Caenorhabditis elegans: one gene and its partners. The protein of the gene in region 3 purifies or fractionates together with the protein of the main gene of each other region. This does not show direct contact. Each region holds a gene or a part of one and is shown on either strand. Other genes may lie near its edges. The genes, in order: nol-56, iars-1, ant-1.2 and ymel-1.

Evidence for each region.
Region 1: the proteins of ant-1.2 (region 3) and nol-56 fractionate together in Caenorhabditis elegans (co-fractionation; one large-scale study listed by BioGRID). This does not show direct contact.
Region 2: the proteins of ant-1.2 (region 3) and iars-1 fractionate together in Caenorhabditis elegans (co-fractionation; one large-scale study listed by BioGRID). This does not show direct contact.
Region 4: the proteins of ant-1.2 (region 3) and ymel-1 fractionate together in Caenorhabditis elegans (co-fractionation; one large-scale study listed by BioGRID). This does not show direct contact.

The regions. Positions count from the first base shown.
Region 1 is NC_003283.11:10,349,950-10,354,580, reverse strand, and holds nol-56 (Nucleolar protein 56), read left to right. Parts: upstream 1-1,602; 5' UTR 1,603-1,613; coding exon 1,614-1,712; intron 1,713-1,744; exon of another isoform or gene 1,745-1,871; intron 1,872-1,897; coding exon 1,898-2,012; intron 2,013-2,062; coding exon 2,063-2,217; intron 2,218-2,298; coding exon 2,299-2,406; intron 2,407-2,451; coding exon 2,452-2,686; intron 2,687-2,718; exon of another isoform or gene 2,719-2,848; intron 2,849-2,865; coding exon 2,866-3,198; intron 3,199-3,227; exon of another isoform or gene 3,228-3,363; intron 3,364-3,367; coding exon 3,368-3,642; intron 3,643-3,668; exon of another isoform or gene 3,669-3,801; intron 3,802-3,822; coding exon 3,823-3,963; 3' UTR 3,964-4,110; downstream 4,111-4,631. Other genes in the region: sluh-7 (Pre-mRNA-splicing factor SLU7), read left to right, coding at 1-671, 757-906; nssp-62 (Neuropeptide-Like Protein), read left to right, coding at 4,459-4,515. UniProt on the Caenorhabditis elegans protein: Required for 60S ribosomal subunit synthesis.
Region 2 is NC_003282.8:10,367,023-10,373,651, forward strand, and holds iars-1 (Isoleucine--tRNA ligase, cytoplasmic), read left to right. Parts: upstream 1-1,584; 5' UTR 1,585-1,592; coding exon 1,593-1,696; intron 1,697-1,757; coding exon 1,758-2,646; intron 2,647-2,696; coding exon 2,697-3,211; intron 3,212-3,280; coding exon 3,281-3,530; intron 3,531-3,577; coding exon 3,578-3,838; intron 3,839-3,891; coding exon 3,892-4,530; intron 4,531-4,580; coding exon 4,581-5,099; intron 5,100-5,152; coding exon 5,153-5,278; intron 5,279-5,334; coding exon 5,335-5,457; 3' UTR 5,458-5,615; exon of another isoform or gene 5,616-5,643; coding exon of another isoform or gene 5,644-6,033; intron 6,034-6,073; downstream 6,074-6,629. Other genes in the region: pges-2 (Prostaglandin E synthase 2), read right to left, coding at 1-135, 185-337, 385-483, 532-768; mpz-5 (PDZ domain-containing protein), read right to left, coding at 5,644-6,033, 6,074-6,160, 6,207-6,332, 6,377-6,505, 6,585-6,629.
Region 3 is NC_003279.8:6,729,527-6,732,694, forward strand, and holds ant-1.2 (ADP/ATP translocase), read right to left. Parts: upstream 1,434-3,168; coding exon 531-1,433; downstream 1-530. Other genes in the region: lbp-5 (Fatty acid-binding protein homolog 5), read right to left, coding at 1,804-2,004, 2,534-2,743.
Region 4 is NC_003281.10:10,414,183-10,422,141, reverse strand, and holds ymel-1 (ATP-dependent zinc metalloprotease YME1 homolog), read right to left. Parts: upstream 6,004-7,959; 5' UTR 5,992-6,003; coding exon 5,919-5,991; intron 5,057-5,918; coding exon 4,826-5,056; intron 4,180-4,825; coding exon 3,835-4,179; intron 3,342-3,834; coding exon 3,235-3,341; intron 2,956-3,234; coding exon 2,696-2,955; intron 2,473-2,695; coding exon 2,368-2,472; intron 2,315-2,367; coding exon 1,615-2,314; intron 1,291-1,614; coding exon 1,135-1,290; intron 980-1,134; coding exon 785-979; 3' UTR 383-784; downstream 1-382. Other genes in the region: M03C11.6 (BBS2_C domain-containing protein), read left to right, coding at 80-348; M03C11.3 (PH domain-containing protein), read right to left, coding at 7,440-7,721. UniProt on the Caenorhabditis elegans protein: ATP-dependent metalloprotease that catalyzes the degradation of folded and unfolded proteins with a suitable degron sequence in the mitochondrial intermembrane region. Plays an important role in regulating mitochondrial morphology and function.

The DNA of each region.
Region 1 (4,631 bases), on a different chromosome or scaffold from region 3:
AATACAATCGGAAAGGAAAAGTTATCAAGGGAAAGGAAAAAGTAGCAATTAGCTCTCGCTTCAAAGAAGATATATATCCCCAAAATCATACATCAGTGTTCGGAAGTTTCTGGAGAGAGGGTCGGTGGGGATATAAGTGCTGTCATCAATTCGTCAAGAACTCATATTGTACGGGAAAGCAGGGAATTGAAGCTGAAACGAGCGCAGCAAAAGGTACAACGACCTCAAACGAAGAAATTTTCAAAGTTCCGAAGTTAGTAGAGAAGACTGAAGTTAAAGAAGAAAAAGAGAAGGAAGATTCCATCAAGGATGAAGTAGCAGAAGAAAACAGTGATAATGATAATGACGAAGAAAAGGAAAAAGTATCAGAGAAGTCCATATCACCATCACCACCAAGTGACGATGAAGAAAAAGAAAAAGAACGCGAGAAGGAAAGGTTAATTGAAAAAGAACGAAGAGAACGGGACCAGCGGCGTCGTGATAAAAAACGTGAAAAGCGTGAACGCAAGAAGGCAAAGCTGGGGAAAAGAAAGAGGCGTCATCGCGATTCGGACGATGAAAGCGATCCTTCGTCGGGAAGTGGTTCAGAATCTGATTCTGATGAAGAAATGCGTAAAGCTATGAAGAAGGCGAAACGGGAAAAGGCCGAAGGAATGAAAGCTGCAAGAGAGGTAAGATTACCAATACTAATTTTATCCGGGTCGCTTAGTACTATTATATTCCTTGAAAATTCAAAATATAAAATACTTTGTTCAGGGTGATCGCGGCCGTAAATACAACACTGACTACTCCAACACTGCACCGAACGAAAAAGAAATGGAGGCTTATCGTGTGACAAGTGTTCATTCTGCTGATCCGATGGCAGCCTACATGAATTCCAAATTTGAGAAGAAACACACCAAGTAATTATTTGAAGTCGTCTCCGTAGTTTTTTCTCTTTATTGTTGTTTGTTGAAACATTTGTATTCAGTCTATTCAATAAATTATTCAATTCATGATCACCATTATTTTTTTAATTCCGATTTTACAAAATGCCCTTATTCAATAATTCATTTTCGAACGTCTGCGCCCAACTTCGTGTTAAATAATTTTTAAATACGTGCTTCAGTATATTCGTTCATTCAAAAACCTCCACGTCATGTTTTCTTGATCTGGATTTATTTACATTCTGAAAATAAATTCTAAGCACATCGATTCTGGTGAACGGCTAGAAAAATTTCGATTTTTCCCGATAATATTTCGTTCGTCTTTTTTCATTTCTATAGAAATTTCTAATAAAACGTTTTACTGGCGTAATTTTCTCCACTGCCATTATTTTGTCCGAGTGGAGTTCACGAGTAGTAAAGGCACACACTCTTTTGCGAATAGGTCTCGCAGCGAAAGAGGTACGCCGTCGTCTTTTTGATTCGTCCTTATTTTTTCTCCGGCCTATTTTTGATACTTATCGATCCAATTTCGGTTTTTATTTATTTATTTATTACTGGAATGATAAGGAAAGATGTATTTATAAACAATTACATTAATGTTCTATCAATTCTTCTTTACTTAAAGTCTCACAGTTTTTGCACCCTTTTTGGTTTTCTTGAATAAATGATTTTTCAGGTTCTTACACCATGTCGGAAGTTCCCCACTTCGTGCTCTATGAGCATGCAGCTGGATACGCTCTCATGAAGATTAAGGAGTTTGATGATGCTGGTCTTATCCTCCAAGAGGTACGTTCGCTCGAAAAAAGTATTTTTAAAATATCCTCGCTTATAAGCCGGGGGACTAGCCTTTGCTGAGTTCACTAGTAAAACGCGAGGAAAATTATAGAGACATCCAGACACCGATTATGTTGTGATATATTCGGTCACTTCGTATGTCCCACAGTTTAGTGCTTAAATTAACGCATTTTCAGGTCGATGCCGCTCATGCTGATGGATACAAGTTCTCGCAAATCGTTGAGCTTGCTTCGTTTGATCCGTTCAAAAACACCGAAGCTGCATTGGAAAACTGCAACTCCATCTCTGAAGGTAACAAAGACCGATAAGTTTTGATGGGGAGTAATTATTTTAATTATTAGGTCTCGCCCACCCTGATCTCACTAATTTTCTTCAAAAGTCGCTTCCAAAAAAGAAAAAACACGTTGTGCTTGGAATCAATGACTCGAAGCTTGCGGGTTCGCTTACTGAAGCGTTCCCAGATCTGAAGCTTGTCTTCGGAGGTGTTATCACCGAGGTAACGTGAAGATTCACAATAAACTCTTTGGAGTTTACCTGAATCTGTTACCGATGACGAAAACACATATTTTGAGTTTAGATTCTGCGTGGTACTCGTGTTCATTTCGAGCGTTTGGCCAAAAATCTCCCACATCACTCCTTATCGAAAGCTCAGCTTTCTCTCGGTCATAGTTACTCTCGTTCGAAGGTGCGTACCTCGATCGCGCTTTTTTCTCTAAATGTTTTTTGATAGGTCAAATTCGATGTGCATCGTGTGGACAACATGGTTATTCAATCGATTGCCCTTCTCGATCAGTTGGACAAGGATATCAATCTTTTTGGAATGAGAATCCGTGAATGGTACTCTTACCATTATCCAGAGCTCTTCCGTCTGGCTCCAGATCAATACAAGTACTCTCGCCTTGCTGTCGCTATCTTGGACAGAAACAAGATGGCTGAAAATGAGAACCTCGAGAATGAGATTCTTGGTAAGTATTATAGTTCAAAATGTAGATTTTGGGTAACCTCTCTTATAAGCCGGGGGACTAGCATTTTGTTAAGTTCACTAGTAAAATGAGAGGTAAAGCATAGAGACAACCAGACACCGAGAATGTTTTGATGTTTTCGGTCACTTTGTGTGTCCCACAAATATTCTTTCCTTTTTCAGAAATTCTTGACAATGATTCCGAGAAAACCGCTCAGATCATCGAAGCGGCCAGAACATCAATGGGAATGGATATTTCCGATCTCGATCTTGAGAACATCAAGAGATTCGCCGCTCGTGTCTCTTCTCTCATGGAGTATAGACAACAACTTCACGAGTACATTAAAGATCGTATGGACCACTGTGCTCCTTCTCTCAGTGCTCTTATCGGAGAACAAGTTGGTGCTCGCTTGATCTCGCATGCTGGTTCGCTGACCAACTTGGCCAAGTATCCAGCGTCCACTGTCCAAATCCTCGGAGCAGAGAAGGCTCTTTTCCGTGCCTTGAAGACCAGATGTAAGTCATGAAAAATGTATCATTAATTGATGGCATGTATTTAATGCGGGTGGATGATTTTAGTTCAGCCGTTTAGCTTGCATGCAAAATTATTTTCTATTGAAGATTTTATTCGCTGCACTCGGTCATATTCGAGTCTATGATTTTTCTGAAATTGGTACATTTTCAGCCAACACTCCAAAGTATGGACTTCTCTTCCACTCCAGCTTCATTGGAAAAGCTGGAACCAAGAACAAGGGTCGTGTGTCCAGATATCTTGCTAACAAGTGCTCCATTGCTGCTCGTGTGGATTGCTTCTCCGAGACTCCAGTTTCGACATATGGAGAATTCCTTCGCCAACAGGTTGAGGATAGACTTGAGTATTTCACCTCCGGAACTGTTCCAAAGAAAAACATTGACGTCATGAAGGAGGCCGAGGAAGCTGCCGTTGAGGTTAAGGAGAAGGTACAGTTTTGCGCAAATTTCCTATTTAGCATGTATTTAATGCGGGCAAATTGTTTTAATTCGGCCGTTTAGCTTGCATGCGATATAATTATCCATTGAAGAATTTTTAGCTGGGTTTCTCTCATTTTAAACTCATGATCTATCTTTTAAGGAAACAATCAATTAAAAATTGTATTTCAGGTCATCAAAAAGAAGAAGAAGGCTGCCAAGAAAGCCAAGCGTCTTGCTGAAGAGTCTGTCACTGCAACTGCTGAAGCTGAGGTTGACGAGGATGCTCCAAAGCCAAAGAAGAAGAAGAAGAGCAAGGCTGGAGACGAGTAATCTTCATCATCACTACACCACTGATCTTTTTTGTTTTATGAATGTAACTCCCCCATGTTGAACTATTTTGTTTTTGTTGACTGTTGGACCCCTACATCTTGTTGTTACTCTGTTTTCTTCTTAATGAATAAACTTGTATAATCCAGCGTAAATGTTTTAGAATTGACTTCACATATAAACTTCAGTGCGAGTAATGTTCGAAAGTGCTCTGTTCACTACACTACGCGAAGCCGTGTATTAAGAATGAGAGGGCGGCGTCAAAATCTCGAGAAGGGCGGGGCCAAGAGAGCAAGACTGGAGCTTAGAAAATGCACAACACGTCAGTTGAGACTCAGTCAGTCTCATAATAGGTCGGGAAAACAACCCTTTTCGTTCTTTTAGAGAGTAAATAATAATTTCATTAGTCGCCTTTATTGATACTGTCTTATTTTCAGATCTGTTTTCAAAATAATTATTAATTTCCAGTATTCTCTTTCTTTGGTCTTCCTACACAAAATGAATTGCCGGCTTTTTGTCATTTTCGTCTCAATTCTCGTTACGGTTTTTGCACAGGTACAGGTTTTATTCATTAAAAAAAGAATGGAGAAGAACTTTAATTATAAAAAGCTAAACTTATTTTAACTTTGTTTTTGCAAAAAAGCTCAGAATATAGTACTACTTTTGAAGAA
Region 2 (6,629 bases), on a different chromosome or scaffold from region 3:
ATTAGGAGAAATAAGATGGATGAACCAATTGTCCACCCATTCTCTCCATTCCCGCTCTTCTCTGGCAGAAGCCATATTTGCGTCCCCGTCTACTTTTCCCTTCATAACGAAGAATTTGTTAGGGTAGTTGAGAACCTGAATCAGCAAGGATGTTTTAAAATTGCAGAGTAATTCAAAAACCCACTGGCTTTCCTTTCTCGTTTGTTGAATCAACTGCTGGATACATTTGTATTATCTGGTCGAGTGACTGATCGGGTCTTTGAAGATATGTTGCCAATGTGGAAATAATCAAAGTAGACTCGGTCATAGTTGTCTCGCCACTCCTGAGAATTGGAACCTGAAAGAAAATAGATAAAACAACCGGAAATGTGAATGAAAACTTACTTTTTTATAAGTTGTGCTAAACTTGATCTGTGATCTAGTGACTGGATTTACTTCTACAACCTCATAGGAGAATCCGTGATAATCTAAGAAGGCTCGAACCTGTATTTTTGATTAATAGTTTTCATACTTCACACAAGAGTAACGCACCTTGCAACAGAACGGGCAAGTCTCGTATTGATACAATCGGAGCTTCAAGTTTGACTTATCCAGGTGATTAATAACTTTTCGACTGAGGAGGACATCATTCTGCACTTTCTCGGGTTGCTGAACTTGAATTGGGCATGTTCTGAGTTTTGCTGTTTGGATATCGTCCAGCTTTGATCCTCCCCACGAGAATCCAGCCAAAGAAGCAATCTGGACTGTCCGTACACCAAAAAAACGCATCTGAAAACTAAAAAATGAATTTTCAGTTCATTAAAAGAAAACGGGCGGAAAAACACAACGGATCGGTTACATTCATACAAATTTCACTGAAAAAACGCAAGAAATGCGCTTTTTCTCGCGAGAAACCGTTTTCCACTACGGGGAATATCAAATTTAAATCAGCTTCATATTAACTTTCACTTTATTTGTCTGAAAACGGACTGTAATTCATAAAAAAAAATTTTCGGCGAATTAAAAAGACGGGAAATCGTGGCGAGACCCTGCTGAATAAATGCATGCGCCTTTAAAAAATTGTTTTATTTGGAGTTCCCATTTTCCAGTTTTCTTCTTATTTTGATCGGTTTTTCATGCAATTCCGATGTTTTTTGTCATTTAAGTTTGTTGAAAATAACAACTAAATAACATTTCATTTAACTCAAGTACTTATCTGACTGCTTTAGAAGAGGTTCCCATGTTTTTGGTAGTATTTCATTTGTATACATCTCTTTCTACACTGGAATAGTTTATCTCACGCTACTGATGGTGTCAATTTAATGTTTTCTTACTAACTAGATGAAAACTTGGTAAAATTACTCGAAGATGTGCCTTCTAGATACGAAACTATGCCTTAAATTGTCCTTGATAACGTTTCCGTTAACACCACCAATTATTCAAATAAATATATCATATTTTAGTATGACGAATATTTAAAAAATTACTACTTCCATCAAAATTTCGCAATACGCAATAAAGAATGTTGCATCAGATTTCATGTGATTGCGTTGTTATTTATGTTAGTCGCCTAGTGTCTAACTTTCGCATATTTAAAATTTACAGGGTAAAAAATGAGCGGCCTTTCGACCGTTCCCGACAACATCAATTTTGCCAGAGAAGAAGATAAAGTCGCTCAAAAATGGCAAGATGAGAATACTTTCCAACGTTCTGTTGAGTTAGTTTTTTTTTAAATATTCTGGAATTGTTCACATTGAAAAAAAAAACGTTATCTTCAGGCTGTCAAAAGATCGTCCACATTTCACTTTTTATGATGGACCACCTTTCGCTACTGGCCTTCCTCATTATGGTCATATGCTTACCAGCACCATCAAAGACGTTGTTGGTCGCTGGGCTCATCAAAACGGTCACTATGTAGAAAGACGGTTTGGTTGGGATACTCATGGTCTTCCAGTCGAATACGAAATCGATAAGACGCTTGGAATCAGTGGTCCACAAGATGTCATGAAAATGGGAATCGCTAATTACAACAATGAATGCCGAAAGATCGTTATGAGATATTCTGGCGAATGGGAGAAAACAATGGGACGTCTTGGTCGCTGGGTAGACTTCAAGCATGATTACAAGACTCTCTACCCGTGGTTCATGGAGTCTGTATGGTGGGCTTTCAGCGAGTTGCATAAGAAGGGCCTTGTCTACAAAGGTGTAAAAGTTATGCCTTTCTCTACTGCTTGTTCTACTCCACTCTCCAACTTTGAAGCTGGTCAGAATTACAAAGATGTAGTAGATCCAGCAGTATTCGTCGGATTCAAATTACTCGATTGTCCGAATAGGCAGCTAGTTGCATGGACAACAACTCCATGGACACTTCCATCCAATCTAGCTCTAGTTGTTCATCCAGACATGCTGTATGTGGTCACTAAAGATAAAACGACTGGAATCGAATACGTTGTTCTGGAAGAACGTCTCGGAGAGTTGAAAAATGATAATTTGGAAGTTATTGAGAAACTTGCTGGTAGTCAGCTCAAAGATCTCAGGTATGAACCATTGTTCCCATACTTTGCCTATATGCGCGAAGAAAGAAACGCATTCCGGGTATTGAATGACACTTTTGTCACCTCTGACTCTGGTACCGGAGTTGTTCATCAAGCACCATATTTCGGAGAGGTAAGATTCCTTTTTTTCTTTTCTTTTTTTATATAAAAAATACTTTCCAGATCGATTTCCAAGTTTGTGTGGCGAATGGAGTTATCGCTAAAGACCAAAAAATGATCTGTCCAGTTGATGAAAGTGGAAAATACACATCAGAAGTTCCAGATTATCAAGGAGTCTACGTGAAAGATGCTGATAAGTTGATTATCAAGAGACTCAAGGAAATGGGAAATCTTGTCAGACAAGCGGAAGTGAAGCACTCCTATCCATTCTGTTGGCGGTCTGACACTCCACTTCTCTATAAGGCTGTTCCATCCTGGTTCATCAACGTCGAAACCCTGATTCCAAGGCTTCTGGCTAACAATGATGAGACATACTGGGTTCCCGCTTTTGTCAAGGAAAAGAGATTTGCTAACTGGCTTAGAGATGCTCGCGATTGGGCTGTATCGAGAAATCGGTTCTGGGGAACTCCAATCAATTTGTGGGTGAGCGAAGATGGAGAGGAAGTTGTATGTGTTGGAAGTATTGCTGAATTAGAAGAGCTTTCAGGACAAAAAATCACTGATCTTCATAGAGAAAGGTTTGTTAAAAAACATGTTACTATTCATAAAATACGATGACTTTATAAATTAACAGTGCAAATTTCCAGCGTTGATGATGTTACGATCCCATCTCGTTCAGGACGGGGAGTTCTCAAGAGGGTTTCCGAAGTTTTTGATTGTTGGTTTGAATCAGGATCCATGCCATATGCCCAGAATCATTATCCATTTGAGAACCGCAAAATCTTCGAAGACAATTTCCCAGCTGATTTCATCGCTGAAGGAATTGACCAAACCCGTGGGTGGTTTTACACACTTCTAGTTCTGTCAACTGCTTTGTTCAACAAGCCACCATTCAAGGTTCGTACAATTTCAATATTTTAATTTAAATCAAAAATGTTTTCCAGAACCTGATCTGTAACGGACTCGTATTGGCGTCGGATGGAGCAAAAATGTCAAAGAGTAAGAAGAACTATCCCGATCCAATGCTCATTGTTAACAAGTACGGAGCCGATGCTTTGCGTCTTTATCTCATCAACTCTCCTGTGGTTAGAGGAGAAAATTTGAGATTCAGAGAAGAAGGCGTAAGAGATCTTCTCAAGGATGTGTTCCTTCCATGGTTTAATGCCTACAGATTCTTTGTACAAAACGTACAAGCATATGAACATGTAAGTTTATTCATGTTGAAACAATTATGAGATTGAAATATTATCGTTTTTAGGAAACTGGAAATGTGTTTGACATGAACGTTCATGTTGCCAGTGAAAATGTCATGGATCGGTGGATTGAATCCTTTACAAACAGTCTTGTTGCGTTTGTTCGGAAAGAAATGGATAGTTATCGGCTTTATGCTGTTGTTGGACCGCTTACAAAATTCTTTGACACTCTTACAAATATCTACATCAGATTAAATAGAAAGAGAGTCAAGGGAGACAACGGACTTCATGAGCAACATCACGCTTTGGCAGCCCTCGGACGAGTTCTCATTTTGATTGTTAGATTGATGGCTCCTTTCACACCATTCTTCTGCGAGTATATCTGGCTAAATTTGAAGAAAGTCATTGGTTCGACTGAGGAATCAGTTCACTTCCTGATGCTCCCAAAACCGGATGAGAGTCTAATCGACGAGACTGTGGAAAGACGAGTTGAAGTTATGAGAAATGTTATCGACTTGGTTCGTCTTGTTCGCGATCGTGAAGGACTTGCTGTGAAATATCCATTGAAGGAAATGATTGTTATTAACAGAGACAGTCAGTTTTTGGAAGACGTAAAAAGTTTGGAATCATATATTCTTCTTGAGTTGAACGTCAGAAAATTGACCGTTTCACAAGATAAACAGAAATACGGAATCACCCTAAAGGTATTAAAATTTCAAAAAGTTTGTTCAAAATATAATACTTAAAATTACAGGCAGAGCCAAACTTCAAAATTCTGGGTGCTCGTCTCAAGGGAGAACAAAAGAAGGTTGCTGACTACTTGAAGAACCAAATCACTGAATCTGAGTTGGAGAAATTCCTTCTTGAAGGAAAATTGACTGTGCTTGGGCATGAGCTCTCCTCGGAAGAAGTTGCTGTTAGCTACGCGGCTGGAAGTGATCAAGGACATGGATACAAAACTCACTCGGATGCAAAGACCATTGTAATGATTGATACAACTGAAGATGAGTCTCTTATTGAAGAAGGACTCTGCAGAGAAGTGACAAATCGTGTTCAACGTCTTCGCAAACAGGCTAAACTTGTATCTACTGATACTGCTCATGTTCATATTGTTGTTAGTCCAGCTGATTCTCAACTCGCAAAGGTTGTTGCTGCCAAATTGAATGACATTGTATCCGCTACTGGAACACCTATCAAGTTGGGATCACCACCAGCCGCTGCAAAGGCTCCAACTGCCACCAGCAAGAGTGCAATTAAGGATTCAGAAGTTGAGGTAAATTCCGTTTTTGTTGATGTTCTCTAATATTCCTGAACAATTATTTTCAGCTTTGGTTGTTCGCCGAAGGTGACAGTTTCGATGGGATCACTGTTGTTGATGGATCAAAGAAAGTTCGAGTTCATGTGAAAACAGAAAAAGAACACCTGAAGGGATATGCTGATCTTCTATATCACGTATGTTTATCGGGTTTTCCTAGAAATTTAAAATGTTAAATCTGTTTTTGTTTCAGGTTCGCTCTGCTCTTGATCTCTGGAACGGTAAGATTGCCTTGAAGAATGTCGATGGATCGGCGGTCCATCCAACAGTTGACGTGACGTCTCTTGTTGGTCAGACTCTTCAACTCGTACGATAAATTGCTATTACATCTTTAAATTATCCATATCCGGTTCGCATTTTAGTTCCTGGCTTTATTTGAACCCATTTGAACCGCAGTTTTTCTCATATTTGTTTCTTACACTATTTTGTTTGCTGTTAACGTATAATATTTAATTATGAATGTTTAAGGATTTTAATGTAGAAACTTTATTATCAGAGAAATTCAGCTAGCATTTTTACACGCTCTCAGTTTAGCAGGATCAATGTCACTAACGATCTGATGTTCTGTACGTCCCTCTTTCAATTTGATGTTTTTCTTCTTATCTCCTTTCTTCGGTTGTTGTGGTAGATATCCTTTCCCCAATTTTCTGAACTCCTCTACCGCCTTATCAGCAATTGCCACAACATCATCTGCCAAATCAATGTGATCTCTGAGAATATCTCGAATTGGTGCTTCAATAAGAAGCGTAAAGTGTCCAGAAGAAGCGATGCTGCTCGCAATACAATAACGGAGCATGCTCTTCGAGCAAATTGCCTGAGAATTACACTCCCGAATGACATCTCCAGATTTCAGATGGATGGATGCTAAGCTGTTTGGAGTAACATAATCAACCTGAAAATGAAATGCGGTGGTTACTGTAAGTTTAAATTACCTCCAAACGATCTCTATTGTTATATTTGACAAATAATCCCAAGTCAATGAATTGCATTTCAGGAGTTGGACGAACTTTTATGAGAACCTAAAATAAGAAAGTTTTTTTTTTAATTTTTAAAAAGCTGTCTCACAAAGTAATGGTTAACAGGATTTGGAGTGATTCTCTCTAAATCTCTGTCAATTTGGATTTTCTCAACAGTTGTTCGAATATGAAAACACCAGGAAAACATGTTACGTTTCAGTTGTAGATGAATATTCTGAAATTTTCGTTTGCAAACACTCGATTCAGAAATATTAACACCTCAGTTTTCTCTTTCAACTTTTGGTGCAACTCGTCACTAGTGTGGATAACTTTTTCATCGATTGCAGTGATACAATCACCTAGAAATGCTTTTCCAATAAGATGTGATTCAGGAAGGACATGTGTGATCTGAATATGAATTATGTATGGTGTCCCAAAATCAAGATCAAGAGCTCAAGAATTTGAATAAATACTATTTGACAATTACCCGACAATCCTGCTTGTGTACACGAACTCCTATTGGCTTTCGAAT
Region 3 (3,168 bases):
AAATGGAAATAAAAGAAAAGTTGCAAATCAACAAGAAAACGAATGGCAATGCCTTGGGAAATCATTCGTATTTAGGTGGTCTGATAAATGGAATGATAGGGGGCAAGAGTGGGCGGAGATTCAAAACGTTTTCTCTATTTCTGTCTCCTCTATTTTTCGTTTCGTTTTTTTTTGAAGAATGATTCATTTTTTGATTCGTTGCATCATTTTTGAAAAATAAAAATAGAAAAGAGGAAAAGTGAGGAATTTTCAGTCGAATAAAAACAAAAATATTATCAAAAAAATTCTGAAATTTCTGAGGAGGAAAATATCGTTTTTGATTAAAGTATATCTAAGTTTTAATTTTTTTTAAATTTATTTTTTTTTGAGGTAAAAAACTAGTATCTTGTACATATATAGAAGCCCATTTTCAAATTGTGAAACTTAAACAATCTTCTTTTTTTTAAAATAAAGTAAAAATGCATTTTAAACAAAAAAATTTATTGGCAATGTTGTTTCAAAATTAACATATACATACTTTAATTCTGTAATTAAATTAAATGTTGAATCTCATCATAAATTGTGAGCACAAGAGCACCTCCAGTTGCTCGGAATACATTTGAAAGACCTCCTTTGTATAATGCAGTAATTCCTTCATTCTTCACAATCTTTCTAACACAATCCAAAGTGTTTTTATAGAGAATATCCTTTCTCCCTGATTGCATCATCATTCGACGACGTACTGTATCCCATGGATATGATAAATATCCAGAACCAACTGTTCCAACTTGAGCAATTGCCCATGTCGTAAAGAAATTGAGTTTTTGCCCGTCAGTTGAGTACAATGTTTTGGCAGTATCAAACATTCCGAAATATGCTGCACGATAAATTATAATTCCTTGTACTGAAACAAAAAATCCTCTATAAAGACCAATTGGTCCATCTGATTTCACAATTTTCACAAAACAATCCGTTAGACCTTGAAACTCTCTATCCACTCCTTTTCCAACATCGGCTCCAAGACGAGTACGCACAAAATCCAGTGGGTACACGAAGCATAGAGATGTTGCACCAGCTGCTCCACCAGAAGCGAGATTTCCAGCAAAGAATTTCCAGAATTCTTTATTCTTGTCAATTCCTTCTTGAAACATCTTCTTATAAGTGTCTTTGAATGCAAAATTCAGCGCTTGCGTTGGAAAATATCGAAGCACATTTGCAAGGTTTCCTCTCCAAAATGCTGCATATCCTTGTTCTTTTGGCACTCTAGCAAGAACATCCATAATTCCTTTATATTTTTTATCGGCAGTTACTGTTTCAGAGACATCACTGACTTGAAGTAGAAGCTTTACACGTTCAATTGGAGCAACGGCAGTTTTTGAGATTGCTGCAGCAGTGCCTCCGGAGGCGAGATCAACAAGAAACTTTCGATAATCAAATCCTTCCTTTGTGGTCATTTTGTCCTTCTGGAATGTTTTTTTTCAGAGATTATATTTCCTGAATGCTGATAATAAAACTTTCTTCAAATGCGAGTAGGAAGGAGCTCACTAGACTCTTCTCAAAATTTTGGTCATGAAAGTCTAATCAATATAAAGAATAAAATTAATTTAAAAAAAAAGAAAAATCTAAAACAAAAGTGTTTCTTTAAAAATTGTTGAAACTAATGAAAAATTTTACGGAAAATAAACAAGGCCTTTTTTAACAGAGACAGAGAAAAGAAAAGGGTTTCTGGTCCTTTAAAACGTCACTCTGCGTAAACAAAAACACTATTTTTCGCTATTTATTGCATCAAAGACCGAACAAAACAAGAACAATATTCAAAATAATCTATTCACGAATATAGGCACGACGAGAGATAACTGATCCAGATTGGAGAGTTGTGATGAGCTTTTCTCCTTCAAACCAACGAGTGATTACAGAATCATGATCTGAATCCTTAATCCTTTTTTGAACATGAACTACTTTTCCATCTTCAATTGTGATGGTTGACTTGAATTGACGACCGTCTGGTGTTGTCTCGTCGAATTCCTAAAAAACACTATTTTTTTAAATGGTAAATTATAACAGTCAATTTAAAAACTGAACTTTAATGGAATGAAAACCGGGAGTTGTTTTTCATGTAGCCGACACATTTAAAGATCGTAACTAATTCGAAAAAAAAATATTTTGTTAGATTTAATATGATTCTTTTTTTGATTTCAAATGTTCGTTTAGAGTTCGCAATTGAATTTTCCATAGACCTATTCTGAAAGACATAAACATTAGATTATTTCTTCATGCCACAAAGTGTATCTATGTTAATAGAACACCCGTTTGTTGTGTGTAGTGTTCAAATGGATACAAAGTTCAGTTGTTCTTTATTCTCATTTTTTTGTTTACACTGAAAACCACGTGTACCTTCCTGCACTTTGACCCACTAGTTTGAGTCTTATCAGTGTTTGCTAGAGTTTCGAGAAAGGCATTTGAAAGTTTTTAAATGGGAAAGAAAATAACTAACGAAAAAGCCATATAGTTGTTGAGTTCTATTCTCGTTTCCTTTTTTCAAAATTTCACTTACCACTCCCAGAGTGAACTCCAATGTGGTGTTCTTGAAGGTGCTAAGTTGATTGACATGCCACTTGTTTCCATTCACTTTGATCTCTAAAGTTGGTTTTGCAGCACACGCGGCTTTACGAAGAAGAAGACCAACCCCAACTTCTTTCAGGTAATCCTCGAAATTCTCGGATTCGACAAGCTTCCAACGACCCACAAATTGTTCAGCAGACATTCTGAAAATTTGGAAATTTACAATTTTGATAAAGAAGTACCAGAATAATAATAAAGGGAATTAAATGAAAAACGAATAAGTATTAAGAAATTCTGGATGATTTATTTCTGCTTTTAGAAAATTGCCTATGATTCTTTTGGATTCGTATTATTAAATTTATAGTTTCTAATGACAAAAATAAAAAATGTAATGCATTGCAATAAGGAATATTAATACAAAAAGCAGGAGAAAGTGGTTTAGATGAGTGAAAACCAGAAAAACGTATATATAGTAAATAGGACACAAGGGGGAGTGTACTGAAACTGCTGCCACGTTGTATTGGGTGATGGACAAGTTGGTCAATTTTTGGACGGTTTTGAACTGATAACATGGAATACACTAAGATGGAGTGTAGTATGTACATGGTGAATCACGATTAATAGTAC
Region 4 (7,959 bases), on a different chromosome or scaffold from region 3:
AGAAATATTAGCTTTAGGTTCCGCCCAGAAAGTGGTCGTCGACTTCGCCCCCTTCTAACCCACATTTTCTCTATTCCAGAATCCACTCGAATTATCCAATCACTGCTCACTGTGCTCCACCGTTTTCCTGTGCCAATTGTTCCGGATTTTGCCACATTTCGCCGAGAATTCCCTCATTTTTCGGCTAACGATTTCGACACGTGGCGTCTTTTTGTCGGCGCCGACAATTTTGATGGGCTCTTTTTGTTCACGGAGAGCAGTGATGACGTCACTCGGTGCCACGTCATCTCGGAGAACAGCTCAATTTGTGAAATGTTTTTGAGACTTCTGAATGAGAAGTGCCAATAAATTAATTTTCTTTTTTTCAAATTGTTTTCTAGAATCCAAAAACACATTTATATTCAACAGATCCGTACATCTAGAAAGCTACAACCACAGAGGAGAAAGAGAGGATGAAACCGGAAATTTTGTGGTCTCACAGCGATCGAGACACAAAATTCTCAGGGGACTATGAGAAGAGAGTTGAGAACCTACAAGGAAAATTGGTACAAAATCGAGAAAACCGGAGAAAAAACGGGAAAAAATTGGGGAAAGAGAAGAATGCTAAATAGGTGAATGAATACCTGTAGACGAGAAGATGGAAGAAAAATAGGAAAAAAATCACTCAATTTACACGAAAACTTCGATTTTCTAAGATTTTCGAGCGAACTTAAACTGAAATAAAATCAGAAAAAGGAGGAAAAAGTACAGAACTTAGAATATTTAAAGAAAAAAAAAGAAGAAATTATTGCTTTCCACGGCCTTCTTCCTCGAATAAATGAAGAACAAGCGACGGTTGATTTCGTTTTGTTTCATTACTTTTCTTCACTGCCGCCGGTGTTGGTCGCTTGATTTTCTGTCCACTGATAACACGTTTCACCTCGTCAGCTGAGAGAGTTTCGTATTCGAGAAGAGCTTCCGCGAGCAGTTGATGCTCTTTCTGCAAAAAATCGGAAATTTTGAGAATTTTTGAAGGAATCTTTTTAAATTAATTTTTTAACAAAAAAAGCTGACGTCGTATTTTTCAAGTTTTTAGCAACATTTTTGTTTTAGTTTTAAAAAATCTGGAAAATTAGAAAATTCCAAAAAAAAAACCTTCTTGGTTTCCAAAATGACTTTAGCCCTTTTATAGCTCTCCTGTAGTACACGATTAATCTCTGCATCAATTAGTTCGGCTGTTTGTGGTGCCAAATCCGACACTTTTACCAGTGCACTTTCATTGTCTTGGGCAGTGAAATCACGGAGTCCGACCTGGAATTTTAAATTTAAAATATAGAAAATTTTTAGCGGGAAATTAGAATTTAGTTTTTAAAAACTTCTGGTGGGATATTCAAATTTTTAAAGAAAATTGTTGGCGACAGCTTCAAAAATAAAAAAAAAATTGCGGGAAATTTTAATTGTTTTTTTTTTCGGAGAGATATTCAAATTCACTGAAACAATTTTTAGCGAAAAAAAATTGCGAGAAATTTGAATATTTTGAAAAAATTATGGCAGGAAATTCAAATTTTCCGAAAAAAAATTTTGCGCCAAGCTCATATTTCCTAAGAAAAAAGTATTCCCAAGCCCCCTTCTCACCTTATCACTCATTCCAAAAACCTTAACCATCTGCACCGCCAACTGAGTGGCCTTACTCAAATCATCCGCAGCACCAGTGGTGACCTTATCATCTCCAAAGATGAGCTCTTCAGCCACCCGACCGCCCATCATCACATCCAACGTAGCAAGCATTTGTGCTTTAGTCAACTGATAACTATCCTTTTCAGGAAGCATTGCAGTGTGTCCGAGAGATTGTCCACGTGGAATAATAGTTACTTTATGCAGAGGTGTAGCATCTTTTGTGTACAAAGACACCAGAGTATGACCTGCTTCATGATAAGCTGTATTTCTATTTGCTTCTTCATCAGGAATCCTTCCTCCAGTACGTGCCGGTCCCATCAGTACTCGATCCCTTGCTTCATCTAAATAGGCCATCGTAACCTCCACAGCATTATCAGTCGCCGCTTTCAATGCCGCCTGATTCACCATATTCTCAATGTCGGCTCCAGTGAATCCTGTCGATCCCTTCGCCAGAACTTTAGGATCAATTCCACCGGAATGCACGATTTTTGAGAGATAAAAGTTGAAAATGTCCACACGCCCAGCGAGATCAGGTTTTGGAACTGTGACACGAACATCGAAGCGTCCGGGTCGGAGAAGGGCCTTGTCGAGGTCGTCGACACGATTTGTTGCGGCAATTACAATGATTCCCTCGTTACGGGTGAAGCCATCCATTTCACTGAAAACATCAGGAGATGAGTTTTTAATGCACAAAATTGAGCAAATTGTTACCTGAGAAGTTGATTAATCGTTTGATTTGCATATGGATGGATGGAATTCGAAACACGTTTTGAGCCAACTGAATCGATTTCGTCGATGAAAATGATGCATGGAGCACTGAAAAATATAAATCTTGGATTTTTTTCGGGGCTTTTACTTAATTTTACGAAATTTTTTTTTGTCAAAGTTTTAGCGAATATCATACAAATCGATAATTCCGAGAGGGCAACAAAATTGAATTTTAATTTTAAAATAAACATTAAATTTTGGCCAATTTAAGAAAACTAATGGTTAAAAAAAACAAAAATTTTGTAAAATGTCTCCAAAATAGCCTGCTCACCGAGCCTTAGCCTTATCGAAAAGATCCCTAACACGACGGGCTCCCTGTCCAACAAGTACTTCATCAAATTCTGATCCAGCAGTATGGAAGAATGGAACCTGTGCTTCACCGGCTATTGCTCTCGCGAGCAACGTTTTTCCGGTTCCGGGGGGTCCGACGAGTAGGACACCTTTCGGTAATCGACCACCAAGTCTTGAGTATTTTTCTGGATCTTTCAGGTAATCCACGATCTCCTCCACTTCCAATTTCGCTTCGTCCATCTGGAAATTGAAAAAATATTGAAAAAAATTCTTAGAACACTTTAAGTTTGATACAATTATCTTAAAGTTTTTTTTTTCAAAAGTCAAAAAATCAAAAAAAAAAAAGTTTAAATTTTTTTTTTAATTTTAAAGGTTTTTTTTCCAAAAAATTCGGCAAAATAAACATTTTTGCAATTTTTCGAATTTCAGAAAAAAATTTAAGGGTTTTTTCAATGATTTCGTGTCGTTTTTTAAATGAAACAAATCGCAAATTTCGGTAAATTTTTCCAAAAAACTCACTCCTCTAACATCATCGAAAGTAACTTGAACATCCTCTGGATTGACTTCTTGTGGATTCGAGAAGAACAATGAACCAATTTGTCGATCGCCTACACGCACACGAATTCCTTTATTTAGGAGATCAATTCATAAACTTTTTAATTTTTTTTTGAAAAAAAAAAAATTTTCTTCTAAAATGTTCAAGATATGCAGTTTTTGAAAAGTTTTACAAAATTTCCAAAACAATTTTTAAAAACCGATTTTTAGACTTGAAATAAAACATTTTTAAAAATTAAATATTATAGAATATTTAGTTAATTTTAGAAATAAATACGAATTTTCAAAACCTGGAAATTGTATTTTTAATTTTTAATTCCTAAATTTAAAAAAAAAACTTTTTTCCAAAACTTTTCAAATATGCAGTTTTGAAAAATTTCGGACGTTTTCAGCAATTTTTTCGAAATTCTAAACAAAATTCAACAATTTTGAAGCGAAATGTGTTTTTTTTTTAATTTTAAATTTTTAAAATTCAGGAGAAAAAATGTCTAAAAATTTAATGTTTCAAGGAAAAAAAAATTTTTTTTTCAATTTTTCACTATAAATTCTCGAAATAAAACGCACTTCCAGTCAAATATCCGAAAAAGATGCAAAAAACAAGAAAAATGTAGAACCGCGTGAGCGTATTCGATTTTTTCCCATCTTTTCCAGCTCCCGAAACACCATTTGACAATAATCCCTTAACAAATCCATCAGTATATGTTCTCTGTTGATTTTCTGGTAATTTCTTGAGATCCGACTCATATTGATTCCATTTTTCAACTCCTCCTTCTGACGTTTTTTGCTTTTTTCCAGCGAGAAGCTCTGAGAAATAGGTTAACGGAGATTTCACTTCATCTTGTGTCGGTTTTCCGGCATTTCCGACTCCGAATGTCTGTTTTCGAGTACGAAATCCGCGGCGTTGGATATCTGAGACAATTGGAATTTTTTGAAAAATGTAAAAAAAATTATCGTATTTTTTATTTTAAAAATACCAATAAAATACCAGTATCTAGAGGTTTTTTTTGTAAAATTTCCTATAAATTTTAATTAAAATTAGTGGAAAAAATTCAGAAAAAGGAAATTTTTAAAAACAATTTTTAACGAAAAAAAGTAGATTTTTTAAAAATAATTTTAGGAAATATTTAGAAAATGCTTGTAATAAATTTTCATAAAATAAAAAAAAATTGGAAAAAAACCTACTTCCAAACAATATTTTATATATTTTTGAAATTAAAATAAATAAAAAATTTTATTTCAAAAAAATTAACATAAATATTGATTTGAAGTTGGTTTTTTAAAATGAAAATTTTTGTTTTGTTTTTCAATTATTTTTATATTATTCTATGAAAATTTCCTAAAATAATGAAAAATCTAACTAATAAAAAATTGTTTTAAAATATTCAAGTTTTCGATAAAATTTTCCTTTTTTGTAAAAATTGTGAAAATTTTAAAAAAAACCTATTTTAGATCAAAAAATAAGTTTTTTTGCAATTTTTTTAAAGTTTCAAACTTTTTTCTGAATTTTTTCTTATTTTACAAAAAGGAGCAAAATTTCCACGCAGCTTAAACTTACAAAACGAAGAGCTCGCCGGAATTATCCGAACGACAGCATCATCATAATTCAGCGAAATTTCAGATTTTCTAGCGATCCGCCTTGAAAGCGTACTATCTCTGAGAATATTATTCATTTGATTGATTGTAACAGGTGAAGAAGTATCAGAACTGAATTGTCTCCAAACTTGATGATATACTCTTGAAAGTGATGCTGCTGTTGCTTCAATATCCAACGGTTTCCTATTGATTCCTGGAAATTTGGATTTTTTGAAAATTATTACAGGAACACAAAATTCTGAGAATGAGTATTGGGCAACGTAAAAAATCTCGAAGCGAAAACTACAGTAATTCTTCAAGTGAAAACTGTAGTGCTTGTGTCGATTTTTTTGCTTAATTTTAATATTCTATCGATAAAAAAAATGATTTTAAGAATCGAGCCCGTAAATCGACACAAACGCTACAGTAGTCATTTAAAGAATTACTGTAGTTTTCGCACGATATTATTTGCGCGTCGAATATGTTGTGTGATACGCATTCTCAGAATATTGTGCTCCCGTAATATGTAGTTTTTGAATATATTGTGCTAATTTTTTAAACTTTATTTTCTAATTACCATACTAAATGTCTTAATATTAAAAAAAAGCGTATATTGCTTTCTGCAAGCTTTTTAATTTATAAAGAACAATTTTAATTTCATTTTAAATTGATTGTTTTTCGCCCGGCTAAATAATAATTTCTGATTCAAACAAATTGTTGAAAACTGAATACCTAAATGTTGCCAGCTAAAACATCAAAATCTAAGCATTTTCAGACCAAGAAATAGTTTTTTTTTTCATTTTTAGCTCAAAATCCCGTTGAAATTTTTTTTTCAAAAAGTACAATGTCATGTAAAAATCGACATTTTTCTTAAAATAAAATAAGTACGACATAATTATTGAAACAGAATTGTTAACAATTTTTTTAAATTTAAACTACATTTTTGCCTAATTTTTTACCAAATTTTGAAAATCATAAATTTCAAAAAATGAAATATTTTCAGCCGGATTAAAAAGAATTCCAGATCACCTAAAAATCGATCTTCTCCTCTATTTTTAAAAACTTTAAAAACAAACCATTTCGACTATTTCTGAGCAGTCCCGTATTCTGGAGCAAACCGCCAATGTTCAAATTGATCGCCGACTGCATAAGCTTTTTCTTCTGGAATTTTCAGAGAATACAAAAATTTATATTTCTATATATCTATAGAAAAAGATTTTCCGAGATTTCAGAGAAAAATAGTTACTACTGATAGGCGCAGTGACTAACTTCAGTTAGCCAGGAGCGAGAGTCCAGTGGAGCGCGTTTGCAATTTCCATGATGCAAACCGCGACGCCGCCGCCTCGTGTCAGGCAAAAATATTTCGGTTTCAGGTGACCTTTTTTCTTCGTTTGTATGCAATTTTTGTTGGCTAAATAAAACCGGCATTTTTCTTTCAAATGATGAGAAATAATATGGTAGTAATAATAATAATAATGAAAAAAAATGCGCACAAAAATTTGGGAATTTTTAGTCGTTACAAATTGAGAATGAGATGGCTCAGCAGGAAGAGGAGAAGGAAAAGGTTCTAGTTGTGATAATATTTAAATATATATATATAAAATAAGTGAGGTACCGAAAAAAAAACATTGAACAACAAATCAACAGCGGATAATTGGGTGGGAAAATGAATTAGAGGCTTGTTTTATGGGAAATTACGGGGACCGGGTGATGATATTTGTGACGTGGCAGAAGAATTTTGGGGAAAATGTGCAATTTTTCGGGTTGGGAATTTGAATTTTTCTTAATTTTGAGACTCAAAAAAGTGAGAAAAATTAAGAAAAAAAGGTTTTTTTTTCTCAATTTTTGTTCCAAATTTCAGACATTTTTGGGTTGGAAAAAATCCAAAAATTCTCCCAAAAACTGCCAGTTTTCTTCCAAAAAAAATCTGCAAAAAACTATGAAATTTTCTAATTTTACAGTAATGTAGGCAAAGTGCTACACTCAAAAAAAAAACAAAAATTAATTTTAAAAAACGAGAGATCGTCGTAATGGAAAAAATGGGGAAAAAACGAAAAAGTGCGAAATGAGATGTGACAGAGATTCATGTTTAGGATGGGATGGGATTCTGGAGAAAATGAAGATGAAGAAGCTTTCGAAATGAGAAATAAATTTGAATTTTGACATGGAAAACGCGAGAAAAATCAAAATTCGGCATTTCAAGAATTTTTGAATTAAAAAAATTTTTTTTCAGGGGGAAAAACCTGCTAAAAATGTACAAGTTTCTAGATTTTTCATAGGAAATCTGAATTTTTTGGCGTTAAAAAACACTGGAAATTACCAAATTAAATCTCAATTTACGTCAAAAATGGAGATTTCAGTAATTTTATCCAGAATTTTGTATATTTTTAGAGGAAAAAATGCGCATTATTCAAGATTTTTTGAGAACTTTTTTGGCGTGTTTTCCCTTTAAAAACTGTAAATTAAATGCTAAAATCTTGATATTTTTTCGTCGAAAAATTTGCAATTTTAGGAATATTTCACAATTTTCAATTTCAAAATTTCCAAATTCAAAAGCTGCTTCAGAAAAAAAAAAGAAAAAATGGGGAAAAATGACACTATTTGCTGGTTAACTCGGTATTGATGGTGGATTTCTTTCGATGATTATTGAGAAAATCGCGTTGCTCAAATGGTTTCTCGACAGAAGCAAAACGACGCCTTGACACAACTGCAGCATCCAATTCAAATTGATTCATATCAAATGGTGGATATTGATTGCCGTCTTCGTCGTCTTCAACTTCTCCGGCATTTGGTACTGCGAATGATGAGCTGTGTGCTGGTGTGGCGGCCGCCGATTTTTGAGCTGGTTGACGATTTCTTATTCGTTTGTCCGTTTCTCTCTGAAAAATGTGAATTTATTTGTGATTTTTTAACTTTAAAACATCAAAATTTCCCATAATCTCAGAAGTTTAAAAATCTTTTTTGAGAAAACCCACGAAACTACACAATAAAGATGTCCTAAAATATAAAAATTGATCAGTTTTTCTTCATTTTTTTCTAATTATCGATTTTCAGACATTCCGCAAAATTTTTGGCGATTTTTTTTAGAGTTTTACCAAATTTCATGTAGGTTACCAA